2 linked regions of the Drosophila melanogaster genome follow. The protein of the gene in region 1 interacts with the protein of each later gene in a pairwise test. Each region holds a gene or a part of one and is shown in the gene's direction. Other genes may lie near its edges.

Region 1 (3,757 bases):
TTACAAGACAATCTGCGTTATCGAATGTAAAGGAAACACTGAATTGTTCTCGAAATAACAGCCATTATAATGAGTTTATAAAAATGTAAAGGTCATTTGTTTATATTTACAAATGCATCTCATTTTATTAATTTTGTTGTGGTTTTAGTTCCAGTTCTAGTTCCATTACAATAGTGAAAAACTTAAAAGTCATATTTTAATTGCATAAAAAATTATATTCTTGATAATTTCAATAAATTCATAAATATAAAAAAAGCCCCTGTGACTTGAACTGCTTGCTATAAATATGCTTAAGTTTATGGCAAATTTTCAATGTTAGTTAGAGACAATGAATGTGGGATGCTGTTCCTTCGAACAGCGCAGAATATCCTGGGAATTCCCGTGAAATCTAGCTGCCTTCAACCACCCGCTCCCCTCCCCCTCATCCAACCACTACACCTACTTGTGATCGAAAAGGCGGAGGCAAAAAAAAAAAAAAGAAGGTAAAAAGGTAAAAATGTGAAAAGTAAAAGTAAGTAAGGCCATGAATCGCAACCCCCTGCCAAAAAAAAAAAAAATAAATAAATAAAACAACGACAAGTAGGAAAAAAGTTGGCCGCTGGCTGCGCGTCTGGCGGATATAAAAATAAAATAAAATCTATTAGGTGGCGAACCACCCCACATTTATGCGGCAATTTGTTGCTCCTTGATTGTGTCTGTGTGCGACGGGGTGTCCTTTCCGTATGTGCGTGTGTGTGTATGTGTAAAAATAAGTAAAGTAAAGTGTATCATTTTCCCATTTGGCGACCCCTTTTCGCATTTCGCCCCTGTACACAGGCACTTCTCGCACTTTGTCTCAATTCCCAAAACTGTCGCCCCGGCCGTTGCAATTTATGAAGATTTGTGTGTGGCCAGGATGCCAGCGCAGGGTGGGATGCCCAGGATGCAGGACTCTGAATATCACTGGCTCAGAAGCTCAGGGCTCAGCACTCAAGAGTCTTGGCCCACTCCCACTCCCACACGGTTTCGTTTCGACTGCACTTGTTTTGATTTGTTTGGAATAATAACAGATGCTTGCCGTTCATATTATTCATTGTGGAAATTATTAGCGCTTGACAATAAAAATGGCTATTTGAACAGCACTCGAAAGTGAGTGCGCCCCCTTACTCCCCCTCTCACCGACAATCCCCCGCCGCACAACACAAATTGCAATTTGTGCAAATATTTATGTACATTGAAAATTACTCATTTGTGTAACACCAATTAATTTCAACAAACAGCGGCGGGCGCACAACAATGGCCAAGCCATTTATAAAACTTGGCCGCTTGTTGTTGGTCCCTGTTGTCCTTGTTGTCCTTGCTGCCTTGCTGGTCAAACAAATGGGGGAAAATGAGGTCCTTTGTTTCCCCAAAATAAACGATGCCGCTGCTGTTTGAATGTTTGAATGTTTGCTTTGCGGTGCGCCAGCACACGATACACACTGTACAGTGGAGCCCTTCGCCAACAGCCGACAAAGCAGTTCAATCAGCTCGAACAGCTCGCTATTTATGTAATATACTTATGTGTACATATATATATGGTATATATATGGTATGTATGTGAAAAATGCGGGGTTATTGCCTCATTATTGGGACACTGGAAAATACCCTGTTTACACTGCCATTTTTCAAGTTGCGCCAACAAATTGCAGCTAATTAGTGGCCACACTAGCCGGGAAATCCGACGAAATAAGCTCATATACAATATACCAAAACCGGGGTGCACAGCAAATGGCACTCGGCAACTTCAAGTTTTCCACTCAATCAGAGATAATATGAACAAATGGGCGAGGGTCAGACGAGGGTCGGCACACTTTTCCAGGGGTGACCAACTTAAATAATACCTTTCTAGTACTGCAAACGCGGGATGTAAGACAGCTTATAAGGATGGTTAAGGTATCGTTTATTTTAGTTTAAAACCTAGAACATGCGAAGAAAATACAAATAAATGCGTTTATATAATATATATATTTTCTATTGTAAAAGTTTCTGAGAAATCACTATACCATCACATTTCCATGAAACACGAACTGGAACAATGCGATGTAGTCACTGACTTGTCTGTCGTCGATTTGTCATTCGTTTAGTCTTTGAAAAGTATAAAGGTCACCGTTCCGGAATCAAAATTTTTTTTAAAATTTTTAAGATACCGCAAAAGCGCGAATGTAGAGTATTAAAGTGCGTTTTAGTGAACAGCACATGTGTATCCGATCAGATCCTCAATTTTCATTAACTTCCGGAGAAGCGAAATCGAAAAAAAAAAAACACGATCTAAAGACGACTGCTAGTACAGCACGCAGAGGTCAAATGTCTAGATTCTAGAATTTAGATTACAACAGCTGGACTTTGCACACCACTAGAAGGAACTTAGAGAAGGTAGGGTAATCGATTTCAATCGATATAGCTAATCAAGCTGTCAAACCTTTTTCTTTTCACTTTTTCTAGAAGCGAGAATTTGTCCTACATTTTTATTAGGCATTTTGTGAAAGAATCAAAAGAAAAAAAAAGCTGAACGCTAAACAATTCACCGCCACATATCGAGAAGAAGCAATTCCATTCGGTTATGTTCTGGTATTGAGCACCTGGTATTGAGTAAATCGAAAAATTCACAAATCATCACAAAAAGTGCACGTCATCAGGACATACATTTTGCTGCACCCAAGAAGCTAAGTTTGTGACCCAAATAGACCAGCTCCGCCGAGGATCCAGTCCCATTCTCCAGACAGCCGCGATCTCAGGGTGAGTCCCTGACAAGCAGCCCCAACGGCGTCCCAGACGATTGTCCTATCCAGCCCGGACAACGCAGCCGCGGCCCCCAAGACCGAGGCCATGGCGGAGGTTCTCAATTTGGAGAGCATAATTTCCCGTCTGTTGGAGGTGCGTGGCGCACGGCCTGGCAAGAATGTCCAGCTGTCGGAGGGTGAGATACGGGGCCTGTGCCTCAAGTCGCGCGAAATACTGCTGGCACAGCCCATACTCTTAGAGCTGGAGGCGCCGCTCAAGATCTGCGGCGATATCCATGGCCAGTACTATGATCTGTTGCGTCTGTTCGAGTACGGCGGCTATCCGCCGGAGGCTAACTATCTTTTCTTGGGCGATTACGTGGACAGGGGCAAGCAGTCGCTGGAGACCATCTGCCTGCTGTTGGCGTACAAGATCAAGTATTCGGAGAACTTCTTTTTGTTGCGCGGCAATCACGAGTGCGCCAGCATTAATAGAATCTATGGATTCTACGACGAGTGCAAGCGCAGATATACCATCAAGTTGTGGAAGACATTCACGGACTGCTTCAACTGTCTGCCAGTTGTGGCCATTGTGGATGAGAAGATCTTTTGCTGCCACGGCGGACTGAGTCCGGATCTTACCTCGATGGAGCAGATCCGTCGTATTATGCGTCCCACCGATGTTCCCGATCAGGGACTACTCTGTGACCTGCTGTGGTCCGATCCGGACAAGGACACCATTGGGTGGGGCGAGAACGACCGTGGCGTTAGTTTCACCTTTGGCGCCGAAGTTGTGGTCAAGTTCCTCCAAAAGCACGATCTGGATCTGATCTGTCGTGCCCATCAAGTCGTCGAGGATGGTTACGAGTTCTTTGCCAAGCGCCAATTGGTCACTTTGTTTTCCGCCCCCAACTATTGCGGTGAATTCGACAATGCTGGTGCCATGATGTCCGTGGACAATACACTCATGTGCTCCTTCCAAATCCTGAAGCCTGTCGAGAAGCGCAAGAAGTAGA
Region 2 (3,757 bases), on another chromosome or scaffold:
CGTGGGTGGCGGCTACCAGAACTCCGATGAGAATTGCGACTAGCAATAGCGGCTCTACGGAAATCTTCTGCTTTGGCTTCATTTTCCCCGTTGGTTTCTTCTGCGGTTGCTGTTGTTGTGATTTCAGCTAATGGCTTCCAGTTTTGTTTATTGATTTAAAGATTAGAACTGGCGGCGGCACACATATATAAATATATATATTGAGCTATATATATTTCTTGCAGCTTTTTAAACTGGTTTCACACTAGAAGAACGCTGTTTAAATACACACATGAAACTATGATTATTATGATTATTTATTTTCCAGACACACACTATTCCCGATGTGTTATCAATCGAATTGCAAAACAAAAGAGATAGCGTTGGTTGGAGAGACAGGGTATTAATTAAGCATTACACACTGTAAAATTAACAACAATTTATCGTATGCGCGCGCGGCTAAAATCAAAGAAAGGAAGTAGAAGAGCGGGGGTAATAAACAAAACGTTTACGCAGAGAGAAAAACACAAAAATAAAGAGGAGACAACAGCGCAACTACTGTGTGTATTGGTGTGTGTGTGGGTGTTTTAATCGAATTCGATTTTTGTAATTTATAATTTTAAAAACATAAAATTTAACAAATTTTTCGTATAATACACTGTATTTTCCTTTTGTTTTTCTGTTTTTCCCTTTGAATCCAGAGATTTTTCAACGAAAAAAAACACGACCGCCCACCACTACAACTACACCATACGCATTCGTATTCGCTCTCCGTCTCCTCTCGCGCCCTCTCTTTCCCACTAACGCCGCTATGGCGGCTTCTTTATGTGTCTCTTTTCTCCTCTGCTTCGCCTGCCTCTTCTTTTCGTATCTTTCTGCCCGTTGTTTTGCTGCGTTTATTTTCGTTGCATTTATTTTTGCTATTTTGCGCACCTTTTCCTCTCCGTATTTACAAAATTGCACTCGCGATTCTTTTCGGGGATGTACAAATTTCTTTACACTCGAGTGCCGACCAAACAACAGACACGAAATCGCGCTAAAATCCGGACGTAACCGTGCCTTCTTCGCTCCGTAAAATTTTTTCGAATGACTTGGCCAATGTTACCAGATGCAGAAACGACTCAATTATCCAAGCTGTGCATTTCCTAAAAAATACCAATTCTTATGCTTAGCTGGGTGATGACTTAAATAGACACTCCGAAACGCGTACTCATTTAAAATTTATATATTTCTGTTACAATTTCGCGATTAAAAATGTTACTTTAACATCTTGAATTTTTTTGGTTTTATTCTTATGTTACTGTTTGTTTACATGATTTGCTTAAGATATTATTATAGAATTATTAAATGTTTGATAGGCAAATAATAATTCAATCAAATATAATTAACATTTTGAATTCATTTAAATCGGCAAGATTTCATATTTAAATGCTTATAGTATTTTTCTTGAGCTAAGCTGCGGTTACACTGATTTACACTGTTTCGGTTGCTCGTACGTTCACTGTTATTCTGTGATACTGTTAGTTCAGTTGTACAACCCAACATTTTTTTAAAAACACAGACTGGCGGCTAAAATTTCCCAGACCCAATGTTAATAGATTTGTTTGAATTCATACGCATTAATATTGAACAATTGAAGCATTCATATTCGTGTAGGACCCGACAGCTTTTACCTATTATTATTTTCAAATTTGAAAAGGTGTTACGGTTTATGTTAACATTGTAACAGTAACAGATTATAGAGAAAGATAGAACGAGATAGCATCATAAAATACTAAATGAGAAAGGTGCTAATTTGACTTAATTTTTTTTGTCTTTGCAACACTGTTTCCATGGCTATTTTTAGGCAGTTTCTTACAATGTTTTTCGTCACCGAGTTTTTGTTAATAAATTAGCGAGAAGAAAACAAAGTAAATAAGGTGATTGCAGGTGCTTAATATTGCTTATTAAAGGCGAATACGTCCTTGTTTTCCTCATTGCCTTGTTATGACTATATTCGAGGTGTGAAAAAGGTATGAATCACAAGACCGTTTTTTCTCCACATCTTTTTGTGTTGTTTTTTCTCTTTTGCGTTTTTGTGAAAATGCAAGCAGATAAACCTGGTTGGTTCAATTTTATTTAAGGTTTCTGCGGATTTGGTGGCCATGGACTTGGTGGACATTGATCAGGTTTTGGACAATCTGGAACTGAGCATTGCCGCCGATGAGCAGCTGAGTAGAAATGCAGCGGCAGCAGCAGCTGCAGGTGCAAATCCTGGCCGTTTTCTGGGCGACGGAGCAAGTGCATCGATCAGTGGAGTTGGAGCTGGCGCCGGAGTATCGGGAGCTGCGGGAGTAACACCAACACCGGCGTCTGGAAAGTCCTTTGTGGGCGTCTCTCAGGTTTTCAACAGCCTGGATGACTACAGGGAAAATGTGAAGTCCTTGCAGGTGGATGCCCAATTACCCAGCTACGACTGGCAAACGGAGGCGGAACACGAAGACGACATCCACAAGTTCAGCGAACAGGCGTCCAAAAATAACGGCCAGACGATAGTATCGTCCTCCGAATCGCTGACCACCTCATCCTGTTCCACCTTCTCGTCGGGTCCGTCGCCCGTGAGCAATGGCAGTCACTCGGAGGAGCTAGCAACGCCCCCCGAAGATGAGAAAACGAGTGAAGTTCAGGTGGAGCCAAAGGAACAGGATCAACAGCCGGAACAGGTCAAGCATGAGGACCAGCACCAAGATCAGGCTGTTCCACCGCCAACGCAATCCAAACAAACTGTAGAGGAGTTAGCAGTTGGATTGTCATCCATCTCCATCACTGCGTCCGGCACAGAATCGCAATCCCTATTGCCGGAGGAGGTCACCGCATCGTCTGTTCTCGGGCAGGTCCTCGAGGAGCTCTCGGAGGAATCGTCGCCCAGTAGAGAACCCGAAACCGAAATGACCAACGGCATAGATGTCCCATTGGCCAATTTAGTAAGTACTATTACCTTACTTTGTTTGTGTAAATGACTAATAAGTGTAGCGCATTAGTTTAAAAATATTATCAGCTTCATAAATCAATTAAGGTTATAAACTATCTTGACATATAGTATAGTTTATTAATAATGGTGTTACATTTTCAGCCAGCATCTGTTGCGGAAGTACCGGTCCCTAAAGAGATGGAGCAGCCAGTACAAACGGAAGAAGAGGATGTGGAGCTGCCACAGGAGCAGCATCCCAGGCGTAGTCAACCGTTGACCTTCTGCTCCACCATGGACGAGATCTCGGACACCGAACTGGACAGCATGCTGCAAGAGATGGATGCAGATGACAACCAGGCGGACGATCAGCAAATGCCCGACGATGAGAAATCCTGCTCCGCCTCGCCAGTGACCGAGGAGGAGTCGGTGCGGATTCTATCCGATGAGCAGGAGACAACCTCGAACGATCAGATGAACGTGGACAACTTTTCGCAGGCCTCCACTGTGGAGTTTGCTGATCTGAAGCAGCCGGAGTCCACACCAGTTACCGCGATGGGAGAAGATGTAGCCTCCAGTTTCAGCAGCACGGAATCGGATTCCCTTTCGGGCAGGAAACTAGATGGCGAAGTGGAGGTCGATCGAGAGCATGAAGATGCCAGCCTGGCAACGGATGCCCTGGAAACCCAAGAGCAGCGCCCCCAGCGACCACAAACCCTAAATTTGAATGGTTGCCAGGCAGAAAGTTCCACGCCATCTCAAGATGAAAATCCCGAAATTCAACAGGAAACTTTGCAGCCTACCGAAGTCAGGGAAGGAGCGGCAGGAGTA

What was found.
Region 2: the proteins of Pp1-13C (region 1) and Sara interact in a two-hybrid assay, tested with the Drosophila melanogaster proteins (2 studies listed by BioGRID).

What each region holds. Positions count from the first base shown.
Region 1 is NC_004354.4:15,359,428-15,363,184, reverse strand, and holds the start of Pp1-13C (protein phosphatase 1 at 13C), read left to right. Parts: upstream 1-2,123; 5' UTR 2,124-2,394; intron 2,395-2,463; 5' UTR 2,464-2,847; coding exon 2,848-3,756; 3' UTR 3,757-3,757.
Region 2 is NT_033778.4:21,480,102-21,483,858, forward strand, and holds the start of Sara (smad anchor for receptor activation), read left to right. Parts: upstream 1-1,825; 5' UTR 1,826-1,991; intron 1,992-2,102; 5' UTR 2,103-2,123; coding exon 2,124-2,942; intron 2,943-3,091; coding exon 3,092-3,757. Other genes in the region: Sdc (syndecan), read right to left, coding at 1-82.